4 linked regions of the Arabidopsis thaliana genome follow. The protein of the gene in region 4 interacts with the protein of the main gene of each other region in a pairwise test. Each region holds a gene or a part of one and is shown on either strand. Other genes may lie near its edges. The genes, in order: AT4G18340, AT1G21790, WRKY59 and AT4G25160.

Region 1 (7,535 bases), 2.8 Mb from region 4:
TTCCTCCTCCTCCTTTCTAATGAAGTAGTGATGAGTTTTTTATATTGTTTGCATTCAAAAATAATTAACATGTGCCTTTGTATGTTTAATCACTTTCTTTCGACTACAATATAAAACTATATTCATATTTAACACAACATTGACGAAAATTTAAAAAACAAATTCATAATTTCATTAATGATATTACTTATCACTAATTAGGAATTATATAATTCTAATTCCCTCCTCGTTCTGAGCTTTTGTTTCATCTTTACGCTCTCTCTTACTCTCAGCCAAAACCCTATACTCTCTTTCAATCCCAATGGAAGATTTGGTTTTGATGAAACAGAGTCTTCTAAAAAGCTTCATCGTCTCTCTTATTCTCACTCTCGTCTTCCTCATCTCACCATCATCATCATCTTCGAATCAAGAAACAAGAGTATCATCAACACAAAAAACGGAAGCTTATCTCAACGGTTACGAATCACCGCACCAACTCGTCTACATCAAGAAAACGACACCGTTTATCTTGAACCAGCGGTTGCAACGAGACAACCACCGTCGTCGTCGTTACAATCACCAATACTACTACTACTATCGACATACTCTTCGTCATCGCCGTGGTCTTCATCATCGTGCTGGCTACTTCAAGATGATGGCCAAGAAGAATAACGGTTTAAACCGTCCGGTTCGACAGGATACTTTCTCGGTTATGCTTCCCAAAGGATTCGTACCTCCTTCCGGTTCATCTCCATGCCATAACCAGAACCCTAATTCCGCTACTACTCTCTTTTGCGATCTTTCTACACAACCCTAGATATCGTTGCCGATACGTCGTACGTGAAACGATTTTGTTCCTCTCGTCGCACTTTTGTATTTTTCATCTTTTAAAGATTTTTTTTTCTTTTTTGTTCGGAATGACCGGTGCATTGATCAGTGCATTTTTGACGGTCAAGTGTATGAAAATAATTTGCATACTAATGTTTGATTGTTCGTGTCCTTTGATTTTTCAGAAAGTACTTATTTTTCCTTACGTGCAGCTGAATTATTTTATTCTATAAAACTAAACTTGACTGATCGGTAAAATAATATATGGAGAGAAAAAAGCATATGTGTCTATGTTTTCAAGGTCAAAACGCATCGTTTGTGGCAAGAACAAGGGAGTATATTGAGCCGATATAATTGGAAATGAGCATGTGAATTTGCATCGTGAGCATAAGCTCTTGTTTCATGGCTTTTTTTTCTTAGCTTCAGTTCCAATTCTTCGTACCGTCCACTCCAATGCATATGTTTGCATTCTAATATCTATATTATATAACTAGCTAGGGATTGTATTTAAAATATCCAACAACATATACAAATGAATTAAGCTATGCCATATTTCTTGAATTAGAGGGAAAAAAATATATGGTTGATTCTAAACCGCTACTGGTTATCGATTATATGCCTTTTGGTCAAAGTTACTACTTACTCAAACCTTTTCATATACGACAAGTTTTTCTTAAAAAGTAAACTTTGTTTCTTTATTATATATGTCAATTACTTGTTAACGACAACAATAAATTTAGAATTTTCACTATTGACCGACTTCATTTGAATGTTGAATTGAATATAAATTATATTTATCAAGCTTATAATTAAATTGTTTACATAAATATCCTAAACAATCGCGTTATTATATTGTCAATAACTTTTCCTCTAAAATAGTCTCAACATTACAACTTGAACCATCGCCAATATCAAAATTGTCCAATACTCCAAGCTCCTCTTTGCCTGAAAGAAGAAGAAAACAGAGAATTAATTCATTTTGCACATCTAGTCCTTTCACAAACTTATTCTCGTCGTGGCCCCAATAATTCCAAATTCTAACAAAATTCACCACATAATACTAATCGTACCTTAGTGGCAGAGGATGAATAAGTGACAGATTCTGAATTTGCCGTCGTTGTCGACATTGTAGAGAATCCCAAATTGTAAGCTAATGATCCATCTGGTTGGAATATACCGTAGTTTTTCTCCGAAGTAGGACCTGGTTTCATATCTTCATTGAACAACGCAAATATATAAACATCGAGTCTTGCATTCCGTCTCGCTGGAGTTCCTTCTCCGGCGAATTGCCTCATCATAAGATTCCGGTTATACGTGGCAGCATTCACAGGAGACGCTCCAATCTCTCCGACATCTCCTTTTGAAGGCCACCCTGTTTCCGCAACCCTAACTTCTATGTTACGGTACCCTAGTTTCGCAGCCGCGAAAGCAACTGCGTCAACTTGAGCATACATCATGTTGTCGTAGTGTAGTCTTGTGTTGGGATCGGTCATGCCGATGTTACGGTTGAATAGAACGTAATCGACTGGGATTTCTTGTGGGTTATCTTTGTAGGCAAAGTAAGGGTAAGCATTTATCCAAAAAGGAGATTTCGTGGCTTCCAAGAAATCTAGAAGTTGTTGCATCACGGAGGAAACCTCCGGCTTGAAACTTCCGGCAGATGGAGGATAAGATTCACCGAGGACGGCAAGAGAGCTTGGAGACGAGACTTGAATGTATCTATCTAAACCTAATTGGACCAAGGCTTTGTGGATGTTGATTATCGCCGGCATCATGTATCTATTACCAAAAAGAGGAGAGAATATAGTCAAAATTAGCAATTATTGGACAAAAACTATTACACTCATTTCTTATTGAAATTCAAAGTGGAGTTTAATAAATATAATATTTTTTTCGAAGGAGTTCGTTACATTTGACCAAGTGGTAGTCAAGAAAATGTGAAATCAGTTAATGAAAAAAAACTAATTCTGTGATCATGTAACAAATTAGACTAATATTCAACGATTAGTACTTACCCTATTAAACTAGAGTCGTCGTCGGTGAAAAGCTCGTTTCCGACCATAATTCCGGTAATCCTAGTGGCCGGAACATAGGGTTTAATGTGAGAATCTACCCATTGGGTAGCTTGTTGAGGATCTTGTAGTAATGGTAAAACCTGATTTTCGATGGTGACGATGATCTCGATGTTTGAATTTGCAAAGGCACTAAGGATTTGAGGGTTAGTGTCGTAAATTCTTGTTTTTGTGATCCTTAAAGATCTCAAGAGGTTAATGACTTTATCCGGTGAAGGCAAATTGTTCCCAACTTGTCCGTAATTGATGCCAAGAGACGTTACTGTTTGTAGTATATTCCCTATATTTCCAAACAAAGAATCGAACTTTTAGAAAACAATGCCAAAAATCTTTAATATTCCATTAAACAAACATTGAAAAAATGAATTCTAGACTTATTATCGATCCGTTATTTCACTATGTTAAAATCTTACACGTTGAGGTTTTAAGGCGGCAACGTAAAGCATAACTTAAGTGTTAAGAATTTGGTTTTAAAATTTCAGAATGAAAAAGAAAATAACCTGAGAAAACGAGAGAAAGCAGGAGAAAAACATGAATGAGACTGGAATGTCTTGTGAATGTTCTTGATGTCATGTTGAGGAAGAGAGAGGGAGGGAAAGAGATTGTGAAGGTTTTGGGTTTTAAGAGAAGTGTTTAATGGAATATTTATAGACATACACAATAAGCCAACCAAGGTGAAGAATACTTTTCTTCGCTTGTTTGTTTTTTTTCCGTGTTTTTTGTTGTGAAAAGGTTTAGTGTTGAAGTTTATGTTTTTTAAAAAAAGTGTTTTTAAATTGTTTAGCTTTGCCTCCCTATATTGCTTTTCTCATTTATGCCTTTTTTATCCACTGACGGCTTTCTATAAACCACAACGAAGGATTTCTTATTAAAGAAAATTATTAGGTTTTAAAATATTTGTATGTAGTTATTTATCATATAGCTAGATTAATGCAGACTCTATGACAAGACAATTTGCATGCACATGTATGGAAGGAAATACGTTGTTTGTGTGTTTCGTTTAATTACATGTACTATACAAGTGGTGTTAACTGTTGGGTTGGTAAAAAAAGTGAGCAATGTTATTAAATTAAGAAGAGATTGGGATACACATAAGTGGACGTGTATAGAATATTGAAGAAGTTTCATAAAGCACCGGAAAATATTAAAATATTCGTTTCAATTAAGTAGGTGAGTCGTGACTTAAAACAAACTTGTACTATACACCAAAAGTTTATTCTACGATAATCATGGAGAAAAAGACGTGGTATAAAAATTAATATTAACACAATGAAATTTTAATAGATAATCATGTCTTGTAGAATAATCATGAAAGGTAAAATATCAAATTTTCAGCTAAAACTTCATGACAAAAGAAATTTTATAATGGGTTATTAGTCCCACAAAAATGGTCTTTATTTTTCTTATTAACTTTTACTACTATTAATATTATTATCTAATTTATCTGAATCATTGATTTTACTAATCACGTGTTAATTATGATTAATTTAATGCTAATTCAAATTCGAAGAATAATGATTACATTTTCGCATGAATCTTGACCGCAAGTGTATCCTAGCCTAATTAATATGACAAACAAACCTTACTATATTTCTTTAGACAAAAGCTAATTGGAGATCCGATTTGACTTGACGTGTCAAAGGATTCAATAGTACACTGAGGAAGCCTCCTCCGTTTCTCCTTTAAAGTTTAATATTTTCAAATCTCCCGGGAAATATAATACATACAAATAAACATATATCACATATTTATTTTCTTTTTGTAATCCGAGGCTTTTGGACGGAAATTCATACAAGTCCTCGAAAGTTATCAAGAACGGGATATCCAAAATTGTATTCGTGAAAGATATATAAGTCGTAATATAATTTGCCATTAATTGTCAAGAAAAAATCTCAAATATATTGTTATTCGGATTAAGATGATAGAGAAGGGATATACTTACTTTCCTTTAGACAAAAGGATCATGCTTAATTTTGAGGCACTTGTAAAATAAAACAAGACAAATATGATAATGTATAAATTGACAAATAACTAAAAGCATTAGCATAACAAAAGTAAAATAAAATGGTCAATTGGGATAATGTTGCTAATATGCTTTCGAGGGGAATTAGACAAGTTGGCGGGGCAGTGTCACACACTTGGAGCCGTCGGTCAATTTCAACCATCGGTTGTTTTTTAATCACCTGACATAATAAACCCCAACAAAACTTATTTAAGAAATAGTAAGTGCTTTCGCTTGGTTGGCTATTGATTTGTTAATCAATTAATTTCTACTTACTATATTTTTAAATGGTAAAATATAAAGGGTTAAACTTGATCACGTAGACGATAGTCAATTCGTTTTCTCGAAAGGTTGGCTAGCCAGAAAATTACATTAATTTAAAGTGGAACTTTTGGCTGTATTGATCTAATCCAAAATACCCTAGTGTCTTCTTTTCGATTCTATAATATTAAATCTTCTCTCTTTTTCACGACACCAAGAGCCATTTTATTTGAACACATGTATACAACTTATAAGAAATATACCCGTCTCAAGCTATTGAACTTGTTGCAATTAAAAATGTAATCGTTCGATGTTGGAATTAAATATGTGGAAAGGAGTCAAAATCAGTCAATTATTCAGAGTGGCCTGTTTATAGTTGGCTGAAAACTTTTAGTTCGTCGTTTAAAAGTTTGATTTCGTGGCTTAGGATTGACCACCGGTCGACTTATGGCAGTTCCATATAGATTAATTTGATAATGACGTAACTATATACCATACACGGCCGAACAGATTGTTTTATATAGGCCTATATGTGTAAAGTTAAAGATAATTTGATTTATTATCGAGTATATGACACAAGTTTTAATTTATTTCTAATGTTTAAATTTAATGATTCTGGTTTAGTTCTTCATGAATATGATCTAGTTTGTTAATTATTTACTGAATGGACATATTTTTGGTTGCAGAATATTTCAAGTTTACGTTATCTGTGGATATTTTAATGTCCAAATCAGAAAGATCATATAATTGTCCAGCAAGTTTGAAACAGCAGACAGAAAAAGAGAATGATTTTGTTTTAGCTCGGATTGAAAGAATATGCCATTTAATCTGCAATTTATTTACAATATCGAATATGCAAATAAAATGACATGAAAGCTTTTTAAAGCAACACAAGTACTCAACGATATCAATGTTTTTGAACAAAGGTTAAGTTTCTTCAAAGAAAGGGTTTAACCCTTTTAACGCATGAAAAATAGAGTATATATAGGGTTTACTTGATTCGGATTTCCATGTTGGACATTTGCAAATGTATGATGCATCACACCCAACTGTGGGAATTTGATAGTGATAGGTAACTAAATTGGTTAACCATTTCCAACTTGGACCATGTGCGAATTGGTTTGAAGGTGGTAATATTAAGGTACCTTTGAATTCTCCCGCATGAATGATTCGGGAAGTGTTATAGCGGGTTTCTTAAAGAGAACAGTGTAGATAAGGGAGAAGATTGCAAAATCAAAAAAAAACAAAAAAAAAAAAAGATTGCAAATTTTACCTACTGTTTAACAAATGGATCAGGCCAAACCATCATTAAACATGCTTGACAGGTCTAGGTTGGGTTGGACCGACATGTTTTTTTTTTTACTTAACAATATATAGTTCACCAGATCAAAAATTCAAATTATATCTGCATAAAAGATACTAAGCTGCACCAAAGTGAACATATAGTTAAATAATGAGCCTATAACGTATCTAAAAATTCTTTTTGACGTCATACACTTGTATTTTATATTTGAACTGAACTCTATATACATATATTACCAAGATTCACATACTGTACTTAGTTTGGATTCATTAGACAAAATAAGATATTTGACGTCATATTAAAATACAGATATCGTGGGCCATTTCGAATAGTGGATATATATAATACTTATAATCGAGTCAAAATGGTGTAAAGCATTATTTCATAAAGCTGCCTACAAAATTGAATTTTTGGTGGATAATGGATAAGGATTAAGCGGCAAGATTTATGAAGAAGAAAAACAAGCTTTATGATCATATAGGAGAGGAAAGTTAATGTCTTATCCAACAACGATAATGCTTTCTCGATAACCAGTAAACATCGTGCATGCATGGCTAAAAGCTTTTACGTGTGCTTTTTTTTTCTTTATAGTAGTTAAAATTTAAATGTTCTTATACTAATCAAAGTGTTTTTCATTTATGACGCGCATACGTAAAAAGGGCCTTAAATCTATGTGTATGTTTCTCTTTTTACTCCATCTTTTTTGGTTAACGACAAGAAAATGAGAATTTCGAAATATTTTATAAAAAGTATGTAAATTTGGGTGCGACATTAAAGGATAAGACACGTAATATTTTAGAAATTTATATTGAAAGTTCAAATTTTTATATTATTAGGGGACAGCTTATCGTTGGTTTTAGTTGTATTTTGTTTTGTCAACTTGTCTGATGTCATGAGCTTTTAGGCATTTTCGATTCTAGAATTTTAGTTTTGCATGTATCAGAGAATTGTATTTAAACAAATTAGACACATATTCAATGATTATTACTTACCCTATTACAATGACAAATAAAAAAACGGAGACGAGTCTAAAATGATAAATCCAACGTGTAGTCTAGTCATACATCGTTGTTCAGTTGTTAAAAGATTA
Region 2 (7,159 bases), on a different chromosome or scaffold from region 4:
AGTGCAGGAAGCTTAGGATTTTGGCTAAAACATCATCATCGCTATCATCTAATCAATCTGTGGATAGTCATTCAGATGGAGGAAGGGAGAGAGTTGAGGGGAGTTGCTCTGATTCATGGGCATCATCAGCATTTATTTCTGAGTTAGATCAAATCAAGAATGAAAAAGGCGGCAATAGAAGTCTTCAGGGCACTACTTCATCAACTGAAATTGATCTCATGGATGATTTCCTTGAGATGGAACGTCTTGTGGCTCTTCCTACTGAGACACAGGCTAAAAACTCCAAGGATGGATATGAATTGAGCTTAATGGAGAAGTTGGAGAAGATACAAGCAGAAAAGGATGATCTTGAAAGAGAAGTTAAATGTTGTAGAGAAGCGGAAAAGAGATTGAGCTTAGAGATTGAAGCAGTTGTTGGTGACAAAATGGAGTTGGAAGATATGTTAAAGAGGGTGGAAGCTGAGAAAGCTGAGCTAAAGACATCTTTTGACGTGCTCAAAGATAAATATCAAGAGTCAAGAGTTTGTTTTCAAGAAGTTGACACAAAGTTGGAGAAGCTACAAGCAGAAAAGGATGAGCTTGACAGTGAAGTTATTTGTTGTAAAGAAGCAGAGAAGAGATTCAGCTTAGAACTCGAAGCTGTAGTTGGTGACAAAATTGAGATGGAAGATGAGTTGGAGAAGATGGAAGCTGAGAAAGCTGAGCTAAAGATATCTTTTGACGTAATTAAAGATCAATATCAAGAATCTAGAGTTTGTTTTCAAGAAGTTGAGATGAAGTTGGAAGCGATGAAAAGGGAGCTTAAACTAGCTAATGAATCGAAAACACAAGCCGAATCTCGGGTGACCAGAATGGAAGCAGAGGTGAGAAAGGAGAGGATTGTCTCTGATGGGCTAAAGGAAAAGTGTGAGACATTTGAAGAAGAGCTTAGAAGAGAGATAGAAGAGAAGACAATGATCAAGAGAGAAAAAGTGGAACCAAAGATCAAACAGGTATAGCTTTTTATTTTTCTGATCACCAATTAGTCTTTTTTTCTTTTTCTTAATCCTTGTTTCACTAAAAGCTGATTCTATTGCAGGAAGACATAGCAACAGCTGCAGGAAAATTTGCAGATTGTCAGAAAACAATAGCATCACTTGGGAAACAGCTACAATCTCTTGCAACACTAGAAGAATTCTTGATCGATACAGCTAGCATTCCAGGTTCTGCAAGGTCAGTTCACAACAAGGAAGCTTTGTTAGGAAAAGATCCTCATGAGTGCATCAAAACAATCAATGGAAGATCACTTGAGTTTCTTGCAATCCAGAACAGCAATAACAAGACCTCACCTCCTTGTTCATCTTCTTCGGACTCAACAACAGTGTCATTAATTATGTCATCAAACCGAGGGAGTTCTGAGAAGAATCGCAACGGATTTGCCACGGTTTTCACTCGAAGTAGAAACTCAGTAAATTTGGGGATTTAGGAGAAGCAATAGGTTCGTTCTTGGAGTATAGCTAGAATCAATCTGTTGTTAAGCTGGATTTCTTACCATAATTTTCAGATTCTGACTTGTTAGTAGCAAAAAGATCACCCTTGTTTCTTTTGCTACATAGTGTAATCTTCTTAACGTTTATGTCTTGTGAGATTCATCTTTGTTATTTCACTGTCACCAGTTTGATGGTCTCATATGATGCATTGTCACCAAGTAAAATATTGATTTTTGTTTTGTTTGGTTAGATAAAGACAAAGAAAACTGCAATCTGTGGTGCTGCTGAACTGCTGATGTTGAATCTATTCATTGGTCGTGTCTAAAATACAATATTTTGGATTAGATTCTAAACTGGTACATGCAACAGAACAAGCACCTGAGGTTCTATGGTGTAGTGGTTAGCACTCTGGACTTTGAATCCAGCGACCTGGGTTCGACTCCCGGTAGGACCTCTCATGCTCTTGCATTTTTTTTTCTTCCAAACATTGGTGGAAACTGAACCGGACCAAACTTCATCAACTCAACACTAAACAAACTTTCCTAATAGATTGAAAAGATTATACCAAAATTTAACTGAATAAACCAAAGTTCATTAAGATTAACTTTTATATAATGATTATGATATATAAATCACAACCAAAGATCAAACCAAAATTCTAATTTGGTTCCGTTTCCCCAAACACAAGAAGAAAAAAAGTCTGTTGACTGTAATCATCAAGAAATAACATTTACATGTAGTTTTCCTATAGAGAGATACATACAAATCTGAAAGCTATTAGAACTTAGTAGCAAAGCCTCAGATATAAACAAGAGATGAGTGGGTAGTATTCATACAACAACAAACCATAGATTCGGTAATGGATTGCCTCTAAATTAGCTATTATTCTCCATGGTCGTGAAGGTTGCCGTTCTCTTGGTTTCTTCTGTGGCTTCTCTCTCTTCTGAAAGCATGAAACAGATCCAACCCGAGGCCAACATTAAGAATGTTCATTCCTGCCATACCAGACAGAGCGAGTGGTAACTCCACGCCTTTCCCAAACTTGTGTGCGTCTTTGATCAGCTTGATAGTGATGAGAATGTGAGGAATGCATCTCGCAAACACAAAGGCTGTCCAGTTTAATACCCACTCCAGTTTCACCAATGCTGTGTTGCTGTCTCGGATTCCTGCCATTCTCCTTAGCTTCCTCACGTGTAGAAAGATCGAATGCATCTGTTTACACATCCGAATAACAGAGGTGTCACTTTTGTTCGAACAAGTAGATGTTGTAGAGTTGAGTCTATATCTAACTAGATTGTTATATATGAAACTAGTCTAGTTTAACTAGAGAATGTTAGCATAGATTCGGTAAAGAACAGAGAAAAGCCAGGGCAAGTTTTCAGGAAGAAAAAAGTGGAACGTACCTCACAGATGAGAGTAAGAATAAGGTAGTTGATGGTTACATTTCGGTATAGTGCCAATGTGAAGCAAACAAGGAGGACTAGATGGTGAACAAGAATAGAAGGTATTAAGCCGCTGTATAACCGGTACTGAAGCATATCCCACTGGTCATATGCAAAGTAGCCGCATGAGAAACACAAAGCTGGATATGCCCATTTCCAAGTCCCACCAACCAACTCAGAATGATCAAACATCTCGTCTAAACCTTTGGCTAAGCATTGATTGAGAAGTATGAAAACCACTGTAGTAACACAAGAGCAGTGTTGAAGATGAAAAATCATAATCAGTAAGGCTTAACGAAGAAAGAACTGCATTATACTCAAGCTATGGCAATCAATCATAAGACTAATCCAATCGGAAATAAGAATCACATTAAGCAATGAAACCGTGAAAACACAGCACCAAAGGAAAATTGACTAATACCAACGACCAATGTGCACACCTATGATAAAATTTCCCCACTAACAGAGCACAATCCTATAGTAAGAACTCAAATATAAGAGAAGAGAGAAAGGGACCTGATGCGGAGGTGATGATTGAGTGCAAAAGCGAGACAGAGGTATTAACAAATATAGGGTCACGAGAAATCCATGAACGAACAACCCAATTCATCAATTGAAAGAAGCATCCACCGCAAATCACCCAGAGAAGCTCCGTCCGGAGATTGAAAGCAATCTCAAACACGACGGAGACAAGCCAAAGAAGCAGCGTCGCTAAGAAAAACTGCCCAGCCCCATTCTTCTTCCCTCCTGAACTCCCAATCCCGTTCCTCGCCATCGAAACCTCACTGTCTCTCTCGGAGATTGCTTGAGAATCCGGCAAAGTTAACCCTAAATTGGATTCTTAGCTCAAACTTCGATATCCATTTCCAATTTTGGCGGAAGAGACGATACAAATGCCTTCACGTTATAAGCTTTACTTTGGGACGCAACGGACACGTGTCGGTCGATACTTCATCCTCCTGATGCTGACTCATCTAATTAAAACAAAAAACGTACGATTTCAACATCGACAAAATTATCATATTTTGTGCCGACATTCGATGTCGACAGTCATTAGGCCTAGTCACAGCCCATTTGAAAGGCTCGGCCCATTTGAGAGGCTCGGTACACCAAACTAGAGGCAAATCCACTCAATACTATACATTAGACAGAGTGATACAACAAAATCCAGAGTTGTTGTTAGTTACACACACAGAAGAGAACAAGAAGACTATAAACAAAACACCATCAAGCTGAAATGTTCAAAGTATGTGTGTAAGTGTATATTAGACCGGTTTCCACACAGACAAAACCTCTTGAAACATCTCCAGCATCAGTTCTCGATCAGCTTGCCTGAAGAAACTGCTGATTTCTTCTCTGACATCATAAATCTTTCCGAAATCAAACAAATACATCAAACACCCTTTCTTCAGTTTCTCCAGCTGATAAAGCCAAGCTTCTTGTAGCCTCTCGAGCACATTACTCGAGTTTATATCTTCCATTAGGCTCTCCTCGCAGGCTGCTTTCAAATCCGTTATGTCGTACTTGTTTGCAGCGCCGAGGAGGGCGAGCCTGTGTTTCCAGAACTCTTCTTGGGTTATGTTTCCGTAGAGGTAACTTAGTAGAGCCATGCAAGATTCTCTCGACATGTCGTCTATGTGGATTGTGGATGATTCCTTTTCCATGAGGTCGTGGTGGAACATGCTTTTGAAAACAGTTGAGCTAGCTGAGAGGATAGCTTTGTGAGCAGAGAGTGTTCCATCGGCTGTGTGGATGATTACATCGGTTAGTATGCTTTCCTCTAGCATCCGGGATAAGCATTTGAGAGTGGTTTGAGTAGAGATTGATTGCATTGTTGCATCGGTTGGCCAAACAGGAGAAGCTTCACCACCCTGGATTATGATTTGATTTGATCAACCATGGAAGTACAAATGTTACAAAGAGAAGAAATTGTGAGAGTATAAATAGAATCATTAAGCTTACATTCACAGGGCAGATTTTGAGATCAAGAAACTCAACATCAATGGTGAATCGACCGTGGAAACTGGAGTCAACATGCCACACACAATCATCAGTTGTACGCAGCAGCTTCTCATAAACTGCACCAAATAAACAGAGTATCTCAGCTTAAACAAACCTAATTCAGTTGTAACCATCCCATAAGGTACTACTAATCATCAGCCAATCATTAACATCTAAATTAATATCTTTCAGATTCCACATAATTGAATATAGTTCCCACATAAAAGGTAATTCCCTTTCCTGAAATACCTAATTCGAGCTCGACAATAGAATTCAAATTCCAAATCCAGAAAAGTCAATTCAAAGACAAGACATACCAGGAGAGATGTAGAATCTACGATTGGGGCCAACGTTGGAGACACGAAGAACAAATTTGGCAACAGGAGGTTGCTCTTTAGATACTCGAGAAAGTTCTGGGAATAGCCTCACTGATAGATAGCGATTCCTCTCTATAGACAGATGCCTTCATCATATCCCAAAACAAACAAAAATCAAAATTCCGAAGAAAATTTACCAAAATAAACCAAAAATGAAAAGCTTACCAATTCCAAATTCCGACTTTGAAAGGATCGGACTTTTTGAAAGAACAAGGACCAAAATTTTCAATTCTCCATTGAGCTAACCTCGAGATTGTCTCTACCTTCGTGTCCCCCATCCACTTTCTCTCTGAAGTTTTGACTTCCTTTTCTCTCTGAACTCTTTACTTCACGCCAAATAACACGACGAAGCAAGCAAAACACTCTGCCGCCTCCATCGCCTGCCACGTGTACGACGATTATACGTTTTTATCCATTAAACCGGTTTACTAACGATATATTAAAATCAATTCTCGGTTTGAAATGAAAGAGAGTGGACTTAGACTTAGAGAGATAACAGATAAAATGGCGACGGGGACGGCGACGGAGAAACCGAAGATCGTGTGGAACGAAGGAAGACATAGATTCGAGACTGATGATCACGAAGCCTTCATAGAGTACAAGATGAAGAATGACGGTAAAGTCATGGATCTGGTTCGAACCTTCGTACCGCCGTCAAAAGCAGGACTTGGTTTAGCTTCGCATCTATGCGTCGCCGCTTTCGAACACGCCTCTGAACACTCTTTCTCCATCATCCCCACTTGCTCCTACGTTTCCGTATACATCTCTTCTTTCCTCAAAAAATTGAGATGAATCAGATTCTTATGAAAATATGTCGTGTTTTGCAGGAAACGTTTCTTCATCGAAACCCAACGTGGCAGCGTCTGGTTCACTCAGAGGATGATTCCAAGAACCTCAAGTCTAGCATCTGATCAAGTCCTGCTTTAAAGCCTTTTGGTGTATAATAAAAACTTGAAAACATTATCTTACAATAGTAAAGCTTGTTTCAAGTAATCTCTGTAAACAAACAAAAATCCCAAAATGTATGTTTTTCACAATTCGACAGCAACAAACAAACACTAATGTTTGTCGTAACAATAAATATAACGTGAAAACATTATTCTATGATACATTTTTGTACAGAAACTTCGATGTGTCTCTTTAGCCAGTGACATAGTAATCCATTTTCTCCGGTGGCAAGTTCAGAACCGATTCGTCAACCTAATAACATCAAGGAAGATATTCAGATCAAATCAATGTAACTAAGATTATAGGTGGGAAGAGTATACAATAATTTATAGTTTACTTACCTCTTCGAAAGGAACGAAGACGAATGCAGTCATACCCCTCTTGTGTGAGACGGCAGGTATATCCGGGTTGTGAGTTTCATCGTCTTCCCAACCTTCAACTAACCCAAGAATGTCTTCTTCTGTGCTGCTTATTTCCTCATCGTTCACACCACTTGTCACAAGTGACAGCAAATCCATCCTGTTATTCGCTCCAATAGCTGTTCCTCTTAACCTAACCACACCCGAAAACATATCCACACCAAGAAGATCAAAATGACTATCAGCTACTAAAAATTTCAACCCCATCACATTCACCGGATCAGATAAGTCTTAGATGAATGTACTAGACACGGTACTTTAAAAGATAAGTAACAGGCCTTCTTCCCAATGCCAGACCAAGGTTCTAAATGCTATTACTAAAAAGAAGTCTTCTCTATCCACATATTTTGAGGGATTGAAGTACCTTAAACGAATCCTTAAGACAGTAGGGCGTGTCCCTGGGTACAGAACAGCTGCTTCGATCTGCAAAAAGAACATGTTTTTCAGTAATCAGGATTATGAAGATGTAATGTTGTTGATTACCAGCCAAAAGGCAGTAGAGG
Region 3 (7,994 bases), on a different chromosome or scaffold from region 4:
GGAGTTTGCATACATCAAAGTTTCACAGAGGAAGGCGCCGGAGAAGAACCACCGGAATTTGGAGATTGACAGAAACCACGAAGAACGTTGGTTTCATCAGAGGTAAATCCTAGAGACGTGAGCATCGCAGGCCAACAATCGGTGGTGATGACCTCGACGGTTGTTTCACCGTTGAGGAAGAAGAGAACGATTTCGTTGGTGCATGACTTGAGCTCGTAAAGTGCGTTTCAACACTCCATTAGTCCTCCTCCGTTGAGTCTTGCCTACCTTTAGGTTTATCTTATATACGAGTAAAAGCCCATCTAATTATAAGAAATTTCATAAGACAGTTATACATAAGCCTTACCATTTTTAAGATATATAATATAAGACAAATTAAGAGAGAAAATTTTTTGATCCTGCTAAACTCAACCACGAATTAATGTCGCAAATGCGCCAATATATAGGTGTAGATGTCATCTAGGGAGACCCGTGTCCTCCATGTCTTTGCAGAAACATTTTTATACTCTTAAAGACACCACACTTAGCTAATAAGAGCATCCACATAGCACATCTTTTAATGGATGTCTTTATTTTAAGAGAGAGAACAAGATTGACAATAAATAGAGCGACTTTTTAAATAAACAAATAAGAAAAAAATCACTTACCAATAATATAGTGACACATAAGGTGTCTTTAGGTTCTATTGTGTCTCTGCCGAGACACAACTCTCTACTGTTTTCTCTTTTTTATTTATTTTTTAATGTAAAGACCCTTGCTTTTATATGCGATGAAGATGGTCTAAATGACTAAAAATGAAAATAACATTAATTTTTATAATAAATTATAGTAAAGACATTTGTAAGAGGGTCACCAATGTGGATGCTCTTAGGTACAATATGCACAGAAATCTACACCGATCCTCTAAAGCTCAACATATACAAAGGGCGATAAAAGAGACTCATGTACAAATTAGTTACTTTATAAAAAATGACTATCAAACCTTACATACAAGTACAACTATACAAGATGACTTCCATTCTACCTCCACCAATTCAATACATTACAAAACGAACCCCGAACAAGATATATGTACGTAGTTACATGTGAGACGTGATTACGATGGTGAATTGGTGATATATATATATACATCTATATACACAAACTTGTAACTACGATCGATCAATATGGAGCAGAATGAGAGAAACTATACGTATTTGCCGTCTGAAAGGACCAATTGTTGAGAGAGTTAAGATCAAAGTCGTCTGAATCACAATAAACTACAGAAGGGCTTGGGTGGTTATGTCTACCTTCGTATGTTGTCAATATGTAATCTGGATTGTTCGTATCTCTTTCGATCTTCTTCTTCACGTTGCAATCTGGGCTCGAACACTTGTGATAATGCCTGTTCCAAATAATGATGAGCACCAATAATTTAGTAAAACTCTTAAGAGATTCTACAAGATTTGTAATGTAACAGTTTGATTATTATATATAGTGTGGTCCAATAATTGTTAGGATAACAAAAACAATAACGTCGTTTATGTATCCACTTGAAATCAAAGGTAGCATACATGATACAACAAATAACTCAATTATGATATTCTCAAGTGTTATTGTTATAAGATTATATTACAACTTGTGGGAAGTGGACAATATACACACACACAAAGAAAAACTAAAAAGTTAAATAACCCTTGTTGATTCTTGACAATTAATTAGTTTCTATTCAATAGATGTATTTGGGGCACATGTTCCACATGGAAATATACGTAAAACTAAGTGATAGTAAATATATGCATGTTGGACACAAACATACAAATAGAAAATTGCATTTGGACAAAAATCTCCGAAGAGGGAACATTAACTAGTTTATACTTTATACTATATAAAAAAAACTAGTTTGTATATTCCTCTGCATTTTTATAGTTAATTTTTCAGATTTTTCTATTTAATTTTATTTATTTCTAAACTTAAATATTATTTATTAGTTAGCTAAACATGATTTCACTAATGATAAAATAATTTGTAGAATAGAATTTGTAAGTGCCAATCAAATAAATTACAGTAACTAATTTTGCATTAAAATTTGAAAACATCATCTAATTTGTGACAAAATAATTTCCCTAAAACATTGGTGATAAAATATGGAAGGAGTATTATAAACTAAATACACATTTATAGTTTGTGACTTTGTGTGAATTAGGTTTTAGTATACAAAATTATGTTCAACTTATTAGTCGAAACTCTTAAAGGAATGCTCTTCTTATTAATTTAGAGCATAAATAATAATAAAAATCTCATTTCTATGTAATAGTATTTTGTAGACAGAAATTAACACCAAATTTTAAAAGTGAAATTATTAATAACTATATATATGATTTCTGCAATGAATAAATGTGAATATTATATATCATGTACAAGACTTTGGTTTTATCTTACATCGATGTAAGGCTTTGTCTGTCTTTTATTTAACTAACCGATAAGCTTAATGCAAAAATATCGGTAGTTAACTTGTAAAACTTGACAGCCTCGACTATATATTAGTTGTATCAAGTTGTCCATTTGACATTTAACTATTCTACGCTTTAAGAGATGCATTCTTTCTAAATTCATCAAGTGGAAACATTCAATCCAATACTCAAATCAACACAACCTGTAGCATATGCAACTACAATAATCCAAGCTGTTGAATAAACTTTAAATCCAAGTATGATAACCGAATAAAGGTATTATACGTCCTCTACGAAGTTAGAATTAATGATTTACCTTGGAAATGGACTACCCGTTATCGGCTTCTTTCCGTATTTCCTCCATTTATACCCATCATCTAAAGCAACCTTTTCATCAATTGATGATTTCGTTTTGAAGACGTGAATAATCGGATCTTCTTTGTGTCTCTTCCTCTTTTTGATTTCATCTTTGTCACCTCTATATAAATCATTATTTTTGATAAATATCACTGTTCTAATATATAATTTTCATCAACAACTAAATTTTTGCTAAGATGTATGATATAAAAGTTGACTTACATTTCAAAGCTCATAGGTGAGGTAGCTAGGCTTGTTTGAAGCGGGCTTGTGATTTCTGCAGCCACTAACTTTTCCGATGAACTCCAACTCAAAGTCGGTGACGACGAGTGGTCCTCACGGCCGATTTCTTCCATGATCTTCTCAAAAGTATCGTCAAAATCATCGAACTTGAAAAATTCAGTGAAATCTGTGGAGCTAGGGTTAGGGTTTGAAGGATAGTTCATTTTTAGTTTCTCTTTTTTTCCAAGAAGGTTGTTTAGTTTTTCCGGCGGTTGAAGCTAAGAGGAGGGACAGATATTGTTAGAGTAATACTGTTTATTTATACTACAAAATCTAAGAAAAATAATGATAGAATTAATAAAATAAAATAAAAGTCTATTTGCTTTTAATTAAGTAATAAAATAACTTTCATGGCTACTTTCGTGCGTAGATTCAACGAAGCTTCTCCAATAGAATAGCTATAGCGACAAGTGATTTTTCTTTATTAATTATCATTTATTTAAGTTAAAAATAAAGTACCCATAAAAGTGGGAAATTTTACTTTTTAACAACTTTAAGGTTTTATAAAAAAGTTTTGAAGCGTTGTCCAATCAAATCCTCGAGTAAAAAATGCATGTAACATCACTGGTCCCTTCATATATAATCATATTACACTAATTAATCACTTTTAATCAAAGCTAGATTTCGAAATGATGTAGCTAGCAAACGAACCAACAGATGATGGTGGGTCAGAAAACCTAGGTCTCGTTAACATGCTTCTAACTTATGTATGAATATATTAGAAATTCCATATCTAAGGTAAGAAAGAAGACACATATGAGATATGAACCAATACAAGTATTTGTAATTGGTTTTGGGTTATAAGTTCATGAAAATAAACATGGTATAGAGCCGAGTTTGATCTAAATAGAATGGTTCAAGGAGGGATATTTTATTAATTGTTGATCTTAGAGTGGGATTTTATTCGACATTAGCTGATAAGAGCGCTATCAACTTGGGATTGTATTATGATTTCACAAAGTTAGGAAAAATTTAAAGTAATATTTAAGGAAAATCTAGTATTTTTTTATTAATTTTTGAGTTAGAACCCGTGAACTTCATAAATGATAATAAAACTCAGTTTGTTAATCCAAGTAGGATGACCTAAGTTAAATGCCGGTTTAAAATTGATCGATTATAACCATCATCATTTCTTTAGTAATAGTACGTGTTAAGATATCACGTCGAAAATTAAAAAATAATGTTTACAACACAAAAAAAAGTTAAAAAGAACCTAAAGTAATGTATAGGAAATATATCAAGTACCAATTCACTCATAACCAATTTGTTTTGCGTTCAAAATTATTAAAGTTCATACGGTATTAGAGACTGACTTTGATGCAAGTAAGTTAAAAAAATACTGTCGATTGTAGAGTGCCATTCGATTTGTAATTGACAGAAGAACCACCATTTAAAAAGAACATCGAAATTGTGATGAGACGATATTAATACAAACGAATTAAGGCACCCTGAATACTCAAGGACATGTATCAAACTGATCAGCAAATGTTTTTGGAATTTCGTAGGTGACAGTTTTCTTAGAATTATGTTTTCTGGACCTAAACAAGTATGGATCAACGGACATAAAACTACGTCTAATTTTAGGCTGCATTGTATTAGCCAACCAAAGTCACTTTGGCACCACGTCTCATCAGTTTTTCTTTTTAACTTTGGCCTAACCAAAAAGAGACAAAAATTATTTAAAACAATTTAAAAGATATCTAATAGCTCAGATTCTATCCTTTACGGATCTTAAACTTATTGTACAAGTAGTTCCATTGTTGTTTTTAATTCTAATACAAATAGCCTTATAGGGCAAGTTGTCGGACATTTTAAATAATTATGGTCAAACACCAACCTCTGCATGCGTTGCCAAAATCAATATATAATAAATAAACACCTATCACATTTTAAAGAGATATTAAATAATTATTCAAATTCGGGAAACACTAGACGGCTTTGCGGTAAAATGCATTTTTAAAAGGCAACTGAACTAATTTTCTCAAAAGCAATTCTCAGATGGCGAAATTGTTACCATCACTAATGATTTTCTTATATTTTTTTGCCAGTGGTTAATTATATCATCTTTTAACAAAAGAATTCTGGAATATGCCGATTAAAAGCCATCATTATGATTCATGTAAAGTGCGACTTTTTCTGTAACTATGTAGGAAAAAGCACCTTTTGTTACCAGCATAGAAAATTGATAATAGAAACTTTAGATTTAAAATTTGAGCAACCAATAGCGAGACGTAATAGTTGCTACATGAACTATTAATATCTTATTGCATGTTGTAAGTGTATCTTATTGCTAGTTACTGCACAACCTCAAGGTCGAAGGCACATGACGTCAGTGAAAATACGCCAGCATGCTTACGTCATTTTCCGTGAGCCATTTTGCCGTGGAGATTTGATTAATTTAAAGTGTTAATACAGTTTTTGTCGTTGTTAGGCGCGTGGTGAAGCACCGGTTTGGTCGACGAAGCTTGTGGTTTCCACGTGGAAACTTGGGGTTTTGCGTCTTGCACGAGAAATTTACGACGGAAAAGATTTGTCTTTTTTCTTTGTTGAAGACTTAGAAGTACTCAAACCTCTGGCTAAAAACTAATTAACTCATGATCAAGGTACTAACTATGGTTCTATAATATTATTCGACATTCTATCTTTTTATAGAGTTTCTACTACTAGTTTCTGGTGAAAAAGCTCAGAACGTGAAATATACATGAAAAATCTCCATTTATAGAATACGTGAAACTTTTAAAACAAAATTTTGTTTTTTAGTTAATTAAAATCATTTTAATGGGTAATAGGTCCAAGTCCTTACAACAATATCACGGTTACAAAATAAAAAGGAATGAACTGATAAAATCGGGAACACGAGATCATATTGGAGGTTGATTGGAAAACAAGAATACACATCCATTAATACCAGTGATTACAAGAAGCACTACTTTACAGCTACGACGGTGGATCCGAACTCATTGATCAAAATAAACGGTTCCAGTCGCTAAATCGAACCCCTGAACAAATCTGAACCTGCAACACTTCTCCCGGCATGAACCGATTCCTAAAAAAATCGGAACCCAATCTCTCTAATCCCCGACCTAGCAAAAAAAGAGAACCTAAAAAATGCCCAATTACCGTAGTTTCTAGCTCCTTTTCCTTATCTATTTCCATTTCAGACAATTCCTAATATGTCAGAATTAACGGATATAACTAAATATTGATCATCTGTAATGGATATTCCATGATACATTGCAGAAATTTCTCAATCGAAATTTACTGCCAAGTTCGGTAACATTGGTCTTGTTTGTTGCAAAACATTTTTGAAAACTAAAGCCAATTGCATATCAAAAGTTCCATTCATTCCTTTTTTTCCTCCTGTAATAGAGGAACAATGTTTAAAAGTTATCGGCGCAACTCCTGCTACCACAAAATAGAATTTTTAGGATAATTATGTAACTTTTGATTTTTTAGTTTAAAAATAAGATTAACTTTAATAATATTATATTCAAATATTTTTTTTTTATAATAATAGTTCTACAAGAGTCCCTAAAATTACTACTTTAAAAAAATTATGGAATAATATCTTATAATATTGTCATGTCTCACTAAATTAGCTCTCTAGATTTTTTATTTTTTTATTTTTAGTGCGATATATAACACTAGAATAAATATTCTACGTATACATATTTTCTTTACTCTTTTATTATTGGACTAAAGGTTCTTGGCTGTCAGAGTTCCTACTATGAACTAGGCTTTTGGAGATGGAACCAACATGAAAAAAGAGATTTCAATCTTTAGAATGTTTCTGATGTTCTTGCTTCTGAATCGTAGGGATGGATAGACCTGTAAAAAGTCTTCTGATTTCCAATCTTGGTAAACTATATTATTAGAGAACAATTTTCAAGTAGTGTATATAATATACGTACATAGCACATTTGTATATGATAGAAACAATAACAAAACAAACAAAGCACAAGAGCAAAATATTGTTTATATATGTGCTTATATATAACATGTGGTTAAAAATCGAAAACAACTATTTGGAAATACATACATTTTTTGATTAAATAAAACTAATTCAAGGAAAATTGTAATCCTACACAAAAAAATGTAATGACAGGCACTTATCATAAGTTTAAGCATGCACTTATCATAATGAAAAGGCAAAGACCATAGTTTAGAGATATGGCCAATGTTTTTCATTTTTGACTTAGTCATGTAGCCGGTCTCCCATGTTTGACTTAGTCATGTTGACTCATTTGCCAAAGAAATAACTCGGTTAATATGGTTGACAAGACCAAACCCGAAAATTTCACTTTTTAAGATATATTTTAGACTCTGTTTGATTTTTTTATATCATAACTGGAAACCAATGCAATCAAATTTCCCAAATATACTTTATTCCTAGGACAAACAACTTGGTTTGACTGAATTTTGGAAAATTGTGATTGGCTGATTGAATGATGAGTGTGCACCCTTGTATTACTAATAAAAAATTTAGCAACAGTTATAAGCTAACGTCATCCATGAGTCATTCATTAGATTCACTATTTGCGTTCTCAAAAATCGAATTGTTAAAATTTGAGAAGCTCTAATATACGAGTCAATGAGATGTGGCAAAAGCATGTCCTTGACCATAAAATTTCGAGGGGTCAACTCATTAGATAAGGACAAGAATCAACCAATTGAAGGCGTCTTCTATAACAAGTTTCTTTATTACTAATATTAAAGTCCAATGGGGTGAGGGGGAGAAGAACTTAAATAAAAGGAAATAATTGGTAAGTGAATAAAATCTAAATACGATACTAGATGATTGATTTGTGCTAGTGCATGGTATTAGATCAGATATGTGTTACTATTCGAATTCAAATTGGCATATTTCATGTTGTTGATAAGAAAATTGTAGAAGTGTAAAAGCTGAGTTACTATATTCAAACT
Region 4 (9,620 bases):
ACACAGCTGAAAGAGTTTCAAACTTCTTCAAGATCATCAAATCAAGACAATTCCATCCATATCAGGAAAGAAAACAATTAAACTTTGAGACACTATAGCAGTCCATAACAATTCTCGTGTCTCTCTCTATTACTTAGACAACTCGTGGGAACTAATACCTACCACTCAAAAGTGATCAATTTATGAGATTTTATGACAATAATTTCCACAAGACTCAAACTCAAATAGTCACATCCAAAGAATCACACATTTTCAAGTGAAATGAGAAAAGAGAAGAAATTAGATTACTGCTGGAGAGCAGAAACAGCATCTTGGACTTCATCAACAGAAGGAACAGAGCCAAACAGAGAATCATCTTCTTCCTCAGAAACCCACTCAAAATCATCATAACCTCCAGAATTAACAAAGGAAAAAGGACCGCCGCCGCTCCATCCGGAGGTTGCAGCCACCGGAAGATTCAACAACAACCCAGAAGCCGCGGAATACGTCAGATTATTCGACCCAGAAGAAGAAGATCTCTGTTTCTGGACATGCGAAACAGAGGCGTTTCCAGCCGGAGACGACGTGGACGATGATGATGAAGAAGCAAAGGGATCTTGAATACCACCGTTGGCTACACCGGTCCTCGTCATCGCACGACCGGCGGCGCGTAACATACCTCCGCCGCCACCCATAGGCCCTCTTCCTCCACCAAACATAGAGAGATCACTATCAAATTGTTTTTACTTACACGACAGGTTGCGTATGTTTACTCGGTGAGTTTGTCTTTTGGTCCGATGCTATTTCGTAGGCTTTTTACTTGAAGCAGTTTTGATTGAATCGAGGAAGTGGATAAATGCGAAATGTCTTTTATAGATTTTCAGGAATATATGACTTTCTTTACTTTGCTTTGGTCCTTCTTCTCCACGACACGCTTATCCGTTTACTCTGTTTTCTTTTTTTCCATTAAATGCATTAAAATACTACTCCACTGTTGTTATAATAATAATTGTTTCAATACTGGATTATATATCCCAAATTTATTTGGTACGTCAGCATATGAGTTTCCAAAAACGAAATAAAAACATAATAAAAAAAAAAGAGACTATGCTTTATTATAACTAAAGGTGTACATAGATCAAATCATAAAATTTCATATTCAATTTGGATAATTTGGATGTGGTTAAAAACCTAAAAGTCTAAAACCAGTACGTAATAGTAGTTTTCTTTTTTTCCGTGTAACATATGTATGGGTTTATATAAACCAAAACATATTTGTAGGTCTTTTTCATTTTGAGTTTCGGTAGCGTTTTCAATTGGATTTTATTTGAATTTTAATCCAAAATAATGGATTTTTATCATAGTTAGACAAAAATTTCACGGAATTTATGGGTAAATAGTTTTTCTTTTGTTCGTGAATGTCAACGAACATAGGCATTTTTAGTGTGGTCAAACTATGTTTAAGTTGATGTGTGTATGTATCTGACAGGTAAGTCTGTTGTTTTGCAAACATGTTTTCAATATCATTCTTTACCAAAAAATGATATTTTCATATTACAAAGCAGATTATTTTAGAGTAACTTTGTAAACTATTCAAAACAAATGTGTACACAAAGGTTACTTTTGCATTTAAACCTTTATGTAATTAATAAATCAAGTCATTTCAGCCATTAATAAATTAAGATATTTGTATCTAATTCAACATTGTAAATTATCATATTTAAAAGTTCTTCCACTATCAAATTTCATCATCGCCATATAATTAGAGTTTCTACACTCGATCATGTATTAAAAGAAGATCTTGACCACACACACAACAAAAGAAACAAATTGTAAGAAAATACCCATTTGCAAATTTCCTATTAATAAGTTATAAATAAATTATATGTCATTTGCTATTTACTAATGTCATTTATCCAGTTTTCATTGGACAAACTCTGCCTTTTTCGTCCATTTTTTTCTTAAAAAAAGATGGCCATTCATAGTAAAAAGAATATTATGTAGTGCAACACAATATTGATATATATTCTTATATTTTTGACAGAATTTGTTCTTTAGTTTTTGCATCAAACAAAACGAGAATGGAGAAAATAATCATTGATATATTGACCTGAACACTAGTCGTTTACATTCAGAATACACAATAGTAATACGAATACTAGACTCAAGAGCATGAAAACTCCAAAACCAATTTGAAAGTGGGAAGACATTTCGTACGGAAAAAAGGAGAATCAACATAAGAAAATAATAATAGATTTTAAGTTTATAGAGATATTAGATAATTGAAATTTGAAAATAATGTGTCCTGATCGAATATTTCATGATGAATGACTACAGGGGATGAAGATTTTAGCGTCGAGACAAGACAAGTTTAAAATTCGAGTTTTTTCCACCTTTTATCATCAATCATCAAGGAACAATGACATGCCAATTCGTTTTCCATAAGTAACTTTTAATGTTTTTAGCTTCTATAGATACTTTGAATGCTTTTATTCTAAAAGGTCTTTGTTGACAAGGTCAAAGAGCCTAATCGAATCCTCTTGATCAGCCAGAGAGTTTTGCCTTCGTCTTTGGATTTTGCCAAAATTGGTTACTTAATCAGCCAGAGGTTAAAACTCGTAAACCGGCGTTTAAATTGAACCGGCCAAATCACGGTTCAAATGCGAACCAATGTTGTAGGTGAACTCTACCAAAGTCTTGTACCACTCCACTATGCATAAAGGGGAGGAGACAAAAAGACGTGAGGAAGACATAGATCATGCGTGCAACTATGGCCAAACTCGATATAATAATGGCGTTGAGGAATGTAGTTAAATACCAAATAATTAGGGAATTAAGAGATAAACTATGATTAAACTAATAGTCAAGGCCTAAGGTTGGAGAAAACTTCTTTCTTTTAGAACACACTCTCCTTCTGTCACTCTGATAATGAAGAAAATTCAGGCGAGAGAACAAAAGAGTATATACCCAGGACTGATCCTCCTTTGACCATTAACATGACCAACTTGTCTCATTTTCTTATTATTTTTGATGCTTCTTTTCAAATCTTTTTTAGATTCTCTGGTTATAAGAACCCATTGTTTGTATCTGAGATTAGCAGCACCAACGTGGGTCTTCATCTTCTTCTTCTGCTGCTCTCTTTATTTTCTGAAATTGATTGCTCTGTGAAATGGAAGCTTCCACCATTTCTTCTCTCAATTTTTGTATTGGGTTTGACTAAAGTCGCATCCTTTATTTACCAGGTAGGTTCAATTTCTGGTTTTCTTGTTTAACTCTATGCCCTGAAGATGGTCCCTTTGATTGACTTGATCAATGTTTCATAACCTTTCGAATTCTCTGCAATTGCATTGTGCTCAAAGTTGACATTTTTATTGGAAAGTTTGAGTTTTTTTTTTTATCTTTATAAGAAGCTAGCTATTTGTTAGCTTCGATGGTCGTTGAGTGTTGTTGCTTTACGATCCTTTTGGTCGTCCAAATTAGACTCTGAGACATTTGACTTTCAACGCTATTAAGAGTATCTCATGATCGGTATACCTCCGTTAGATTCTGTCAATACTTATTATTATTTGCCTTTTCGGTTTGATGAGTTGATATTCAACATTCAGCTATGTGAGTTCAAATATAATTACTGTCTGTTGATTCCCACTGACTGGAGAGTTTTAGCTTTCCCTTTCTTTCATGTTATCTCTACTTTAGGAACAAAACACTCTTTTTAGAACATTGTTTTGCAGTGTCTGAAATGGTTGTAGTGTGCAGGGTCAATAGAAACAAGAACACAAAAGATTAACAATGAGTAGATCACCAGACAAGCTTGCTCTTCCTCCTCCTCCTCCTCCTCCCCCATCTCGTACCGTCGTTGTGGCTCTAAGTGGGAGCAGTAAAAGCAAATATGTAGTTACATGGGCGATCGAAAAATTTGCTACTGAAGGAAATGTTGGCTTCAAGCTGCTTCACATCCATCCAATGATTACTTCTGTACCTACACCAAGTAAAGTTCCAACTATGCCTTGTATTTCTGTTTCTTTCTTTCTTGTACTCAGGACTTCTTCCTGTGTTTCCCTTTTTTCTATTTGGTATTGTTGTGTAAAACAAAATCAAGACTTATTGTAACTGATAAAAAGCCTGATGTACATTTCTTGCTCCTTCTCAAGTGGGAAATGCAATCCCGATTTCCGAGGTACGAGATGATGTAGTAACTGCATATAGACAGGAAATACTGTGGCAGTCTGAAGAAATGCTTAAACCTTACACAAAACTGTTCGTGCGGAGAAAGGTATTTTCTTTGGTATAATGAGATATCTTACGCTCTTCTTTAATGAAAATTTCAAGGTTACATGAACTCATTGAATTACCTTAATGAAAGGTTGCAGTAGAAGTTCTTGTGATCGAATCAGATAATGTGGCAGCCGCAATAGCTGAAGAAGTGACTCGGGATTCAATAGACAGAATTGTCATTGGAGGCTCATCCCGTAGTTTTTTCTCAAGGTACACTACCACCCTGCTGCTAGCTTTCGACCTTTGTTCTTTCTATTCCGTGTACCAATGAATCTGTTTTGAAAATTCCAGGAAAGCTGATATTTGCTCGGTGATATCAGCTTTGATGCCAAACTTTTGTACAGTCTATGTTGTTTCAAAAGGTAAATTGTCATGCGTCCGACCATCAGACTCAGACGGAAATGCTACTATAAGAGAAGATGGTAGTGAGAGAACAAATTCTTCAAGCGGTTCTTCTGGTCCCACCTCAGGTCCATGACTCATCAATGTATTTGTGTGAATACTCTACTAGAAATGGTGTGTATATCTAATTCTGTTACCCCATTTTCTCTTCTAGATTCATCAGATGTAATGTCAAGTGCGCATGACTCTCAATCTCGTCCTCTATCCCTTCCGGTCAGGAGAATGCAACATTTCCCTGCAATTGCAGGACAGGCATCAGTTCCAATGGAAACGAGTTCTGTTGGCTCGGATGAAACCAGGTGCATGTCTTTGGATGCAGAGGAAGCTAGAGATGTTTCAAGTATCAATAGAAGCAGCACAGATACTACATCACGTTGGACTCCTCGGCGTAGAGATTATGAGGAGAGAAAAGAAGCTATGAGTTCTTCTTCGAGCAACCGTGAATACGGGAATTTTGGTACTAGGTTTAGTTGGAGTGGCATGGGTGTCGATACTACACACTCTCGGGCTTCTCAACAAGCTTCCAACATGTCTGATGCTCTAAGTGAACAATCCTATACAGACAACCAGGTATAAAATGGAGTTTTAATTTCGACATTGTCTTGTGAATCGGAATAATATAAGATTATTTGTTCAGGTAAACCTAAACTTTGAGGTTGAGAAGTTGAGAGCTGAGCTTAGACACGTTCAAGAAATGTATGCTGTGGCTCAAACCGAAACCTTTGATGCTTCTCGAAAGGTGAAGGCCTCATAATATCATATATCTTTGCATTTGATGAAACTTATTAAATTGTGCTCAATGCTTTTCTGAAAATGTTTCAGCTTGGTGAACTTAACCAACGTCGGTTAGAAGAAGCCATAAAGCTTGAAGAGCTAAAGCTGAAGGAGTATGAAGCTCGAGAGTTAGCAGAAAAGGAAAAGCAGAATTTTGAGAAGGCAAGGAGAGATGCAGAGAGCATGAGAGAAAGAGCAGAGAGAGAAATTGCGCAGAGAAGAGAAGCCGAAAGGAAATCCGCACGTGATACTAAAGAGAAAGAGAAGCTCGAGGGCACTCTCGGGTCTCCTCAGCTGCAATATCAGCACTTTGCTTGGGAAGAAATTATGGCTGCCACTTCATCATTCTCAGAAGAACTGAAGATCGGAATGGGAGCTTACGGAGCTGTTTACAAGTGTAATCTGCATCATACAACTGCAGTTGTCAAAGTTTTGCAGTCAGCTGAAAATCAACTTTCCAAACAATTCCAACAAGAGGTATGGAAGTGAGCTCAAATTTGGTTTAAGGAACTTTGTTTGAGATTTTGTGCCTTTCACTATATGGAAGTTTTCTGATTTTAATTTCAATTCTTGTGGATAAGAGTCTACATTTATCTCACTGGCCTCTCTAATTTGCAGCTCGAAATCTTGAGCAAGATTAGGCATCCACATTTGGTTCTCCTTCTAGGAGCGTGCCCGGAGCAAGGTGCTTTAGTTTATGAGTACATGGAAAACGGTAGCTTGGAGGACAGACTTTTCCAGGTCAACAACAGTCCGCCACTCCCGTGGTTTGAGCGGTTTAGGATTGCTTGGGAAGTTGCAGCGGCTCTTGTCTTCCTCCACAAATCAAAGCCTAAACCAATCATTCACCGTGATCTTAAACCTGCAAACATCTTACTTGATCACAACTTTGTCAGCAAAGTTGGAGACGTGGGACTCTCAACGATGGTTCAAGTCGATCCTCTATCAACTAAATTCACTATATACAAACAAACAAGCCCCGTGGGAACGTTATGCTATATTGATCCGGAATATCAGCGCACTGGAAGGATATCATCGAAATCAGATATCTACTCCTTTGGAATGATTCTTCTTCAGCTTCTCACAGCAAAACCTGCTATTGCATTGACACATTTCGTTGAGAGCGCAATGGATAGTAATGATGAGTTCCTTAAGATCTTAGATCAGAAAGCCGGTAACTGGCCGATTGAAGAAACCCGGGAATTGGCCGCATTAGCTTTGTGTTGTACAGAGCTACGCGGGAAAGATAGACCTGATTTGAAAGATCAGATTCTTCCAGCGCTCGAAAACCTAAAGAAAGTAGCTGAAAAGGCAAGGAACTCATTTTCCGGCGTATCGACACAGCCTCCCACTCATTTCATCTGCCCATTACTTAAGGTAAACTCTATATAAAACCTTGTTCAATGTTGAAACATCTCATCTCAGTGTGTTGTGGTGAAAATGTGTGAGCTTGTGTGGTATAATGCAGGACGTGATGAACGAGCCGTGCGTTGCAGCAGACGGATACACATACGACCGTCATGCGATAGAGGAGTGGCTTAAGGAGCACAACACATCGCCGATGACGGATTCACCGTTGCATAGCAAGAACCTTTTACCCAATTATACTCTTTACACAGCCATCATGGAATGGAGGTCTACACGATAGTAGTAAGCCAAACTGTGTAGCGTTTTTGTGGATATATAAACGGCAAGACGTTTTGCTTTGTACTACTACTACACACATGCTGAATCAAAAATATAAACCGAAACGAAACCTTAATCATCTTGTAAACGAATATTCGGATCCATCCGTTAATTTGCCTCCAAATAAGAACACAAAACCATTGCCCTTTATTTTTCATTTTGGTATTTTGGTCTTTTTTGTCTCTCTTCCTTTCCATTGCCCAAAAAGAAACAGAAACTTTTCTCCGAGAATCCTCATTTCTCCGTTGAAAAAAGGACCTTGAGAGGAAATGTTTCACTGTTTCTAGGGTTCTTATAATCCACTTCCTCATCATTAGAGAATGGAAAATCTCCTCTTCTCTTTGATATTTCTTCGGATTTCGCTTATGTCCTGAATCTCTTGAAGACCCAATTGAAAAAATCTCAACTTTTTTTCTCCCGGCGTTTCCGGCGATATACAATGCGGATTCTCGTGAATCTCATTCTCTTCTCCTTGATTCCTCTGGCGTTCTCCAATGAAAACTCCAGCTCGTATCTCATTGCGCGACCATTGATCTTCGAAACCCAGCTCAAGAACATAAACGACAATGTCAATCTACATTGCACGAGCTGGAGATTCGCGGCGGAGACAAACAATCTCGCTCCATGGAAAACCATTCCAGCTGAATGCGCCGATTACGTGAAAGATTACCTGATGGGTGAAGGTTACGTCGTCGATGTGGAGAGAGTCTCCGAAGAAGCTAAGGTTTACGCGAGCAGCTTCGAATCTAACGGTGACGGGAAAGACATTTGGATTTTCGATATTGATGAGACGTTATTGTCGAATCTTCCTTATTACATGGAACACGGTTGTGGGTAATTTATCTTAAATCTTTCATTTTACAACATTGCTATAAAAAGTTGGTTCCTTGATAATTGTATAGATGGATTTGTCTTTTTACTATGTCGAATTAGTTAAGATTTGAGGTATGTGTTGTTGTCTGTCTTTTTCTTTGCTTGTTTGTCTATGTATGATAAATGTGAATGTTTGTTCTGTTTGGGAATTTGCAGGTTGGAAGTTTTTGATCATTCAAAGTTTGATATGTGGGTAGAGAAAGGGATAGCACCTGCTATAGCACCAAGCTTGAAGCTTTACCAAAAGGTTATACATTTGGGGTACAAAGTTATCTTGCTTACAGGGCGTAGAGAGAACCACCGGGTTATCACTGTCGAAAACCTGCGCAATGCCGGTTTCCATAACTGGGACAAGCTTATTCTGAGGTATGCATACTCTACTTTTGGACCTCCATTACAATGTAGCTCATACAGTTTTTAACCAACTATTGATCTGGATCCATGGTTGTGGTAACATGACGTTGTTTGATCTTGGATTGTAATCTTGGGTTTGAATGGATGATTGACGCTTTGGTTTGCTGCTTAATGTTAATAGATCGTTGGATGATCGGAACAAAACAGCGACCATGTACAAGTCAGAGAAGAGAGAGGAGATGGTGAAAGAAGGGTATAGGATCAGAGGCAATTCAGGTGACCAATGGAGTGATTTGTTGGGTTCTGCAATGTCAGAAAGATCCTTCAAACTTCCAAATCCAATGTATTATATCCCCTGAAGGGGATCAACTAGAATCAGGAGGCAATTCAGGTTACTAAATGGAGCAACCTACTGTTTTTGAAGTTTGGGTTGCCATGTAATCACTTGCAATAAATATATGTACTAATGACTGCATCGGCTTGCGTGTCTAAATTTGTAGCTTATTGAAAACTTTTTGTGGTTAAAGACGAATCCAGTTAACTAACATAAGTTTAACAAAACAAGACCTTTTCCATATATAGACCACCGTTACCAACTTACAAAGAAGCCAAATAAAGTACAACACAACACTTGCAAGTTACAAAAAGAGAGGAAAAAAAACATGGTACCATTTGACAACATATAGAAACACACATAAACATTACTTATAACAAAAAGATTCAAACTCGGCTTTTATTATCTCCCCCTGATCAAATTCTAAACACTTTATTCCTCATAAACTAACTCCCCGACATTGGAGTTATTGGACTATGACGATGACATCAGTGGGGTAACTTAAGTAGTGTGCTGGCCACCACGAGTACGGTCACGGTCATGTTCCCCACCAGTATGTTGCTGTCCGTAGTACTGAGCTCTGTCTTTCAGATCCTGAGCTTTGCTTCCCAACTTCATCCTTGCACTGTCCAACTTGTCTGATCCCTGTGGGTGCTCTCCCGTTGCGTACCTATTCACAATCAATAGGTATCATACCAAGCATTTTACCTATATAGATGATATACACAGACACATTCAAGCTAGCTAGGTCAAATTTCGTATTTAGTTAACCAAATGTTCCCTAGAATTTGCAATTTCTTATTGTTACATTTGTTATTCGACCAAAAAAATTGATCCAAAGCTACTGGCTCAACACATGCATGCACATATTGCACAAAATTATGAAGTAAGATGATAAATGTGTGCTTACTTGTAAATCCAAGAGAAAACGGTTATAGCGGCA

The links.
Region 1: the proteins of AT4G25160 (region 4) and AT4G18340 interact in a two-hybrid assay, tested with the Arabidopsis thaliana proteins (one large-scale study listed by BioGRID).
Region 2: the proteins of AT4G25160 (region 4) and AT1G21790 interact in a two-hybrid assay, tested with the Arabidopsis thaliana proteins (one large-scale study listed by BioGRID).
Region 3: the proteins of AT4G25160 (region 4) and WRKY59 interact in a two-hybrid assay, tested with the Arabidopsis thaliana proteins (one large-scale study listed by BioGRID).

The regions. Positions count from the first base shown.
Region 1 is NC_003075.7:10,128,568-10,136,102, forward strand, and holds AT4G18340 (Glycosyl hydrolase superfamily protein), read right to left. Parts: upstream 3,626-7,535; 5' UTR 3,453-3,625; coding exon 3,380-3,452; intron 3,160-3,379; coding exon 2,823-3,159; intron 2,587-2,822; coding exon 1,878-2,586; coding exon of another isoform or gene 1,845-1,877; exon of another isoform or gene 1,753-1,844; coding exon 1,678-1,752; 3' UTR 1,483-1,677; downstream 1-1,482. Other genes in the region: AT4G18330 (Translation elongation factor EF1A/initiation factor IF2gamma family protein), read left to right, coding at 1-20; AT4G18335 (uncharacterized protein), read left to right, coding at 302-796.
Region 2 is NC_003070.9:7,650,884-7,658,042, reverse strand, and holds AT1G21790 (TRAM, LAG1 and CLN8 (TLC) lipid-sensing domain containing protein), read right to left. Parts: upstream 3,956-7,159; 5' UTR 3,687-3,955; coding exon 3,428-3,686; intron 3,151-3,427; coding exon 2,873-3,150; intron 2,682-2,872; coding exon 2,352-2,681; 3' UTR 2,062-2,351; downstream 1-2,061. Other genes in the region: AT1G21810 (filament-like protein (DUF869)), read left to right, coding at 1-992, 1,079-1,465; AT1G21780 (BTB/POZ domain-containing protein), read right to left, coding at 4,177-4,782, 4,874-4,989, 5,230-5,375, 5,455-5,567; AT1G21770 (Acyl-CoA N-acyltransferases (NAT) superfamily protein), read left to right, coding at 5,794-6,045, 6,117-6,200; FBP7 (F-box protein 7), read right to left, coding at 6,430-6,489, 6,579-6,789, 7,021-7,079.
Region 3 is NC_003071.7:9,332,988-9,340,981, forward strand, and holds WRKY59 (WRKY DNA-binding protein 59), read right to left. Parts: upstream 3,292-7,994; 5' UTR 3,236-3,291; coding exon 3,012-3,235; intron 2,911-3,011; coding exon 2,749-2,910; intron 1,385-2,748; coding exon 1,162-1,384; 3' UTR 857-1,161; downstream 1-856. UniProt on the Arabidopsis thaliana protein: Transcription factor. Interacts specifically with the W box (5'-(T)TGAC[CT]-3'), a frequently occurring elicitor-responsive cis-acting element.
Region 4 is NC_003075.7:12,900,818-12,910,437, reverse strand, and holds AT4G25160 (U-box domain-containing protein kinase family protein), read left to right. Parts: upstream 1-2,841; 5' UTR 2,842-3,221; intron 3,222-3,735; 5' UTR 3,736-3,768; coding exon 3,769-3,967; intron 3,968-4,130; coding exon 4,131-4,252; intron 4,253-4,342; coding exon 4,343-4,464; intron 4,465-4,545; coding exon 4,546-4,724; intron 4,725-4,810; coding exon 4,811-5,226; intron 5,227-5,293; coding exon 5,294-5,395; intron 5,396-5,478; coding exon 5,479-5,907; intron 5,908-6,048; coding exon 6,049-6,807; intron 6,808-6,898; coding exon 6,899-7,078; 3' UTR 7,079-7,258; downstream 7,259-9,620. Other genes in the region: AT4G25170 (Uncharacterized conserved protein (UCP012943)), read right to left, coding at 1-25, 289-698; AT4G25150 (HAD superfamily, subfamily IIIB acid phosphatase), read left to right, coding at 7,556-7,950, 8,146-8,355, 8,525-8,702; OLEO1 (oleosin 1), read right to left, coding at 9,179-9,347, 9,588-9,620. UniProt on the Arabidopsis thaliana protein: Functions as an E3 ubiquitin ligase.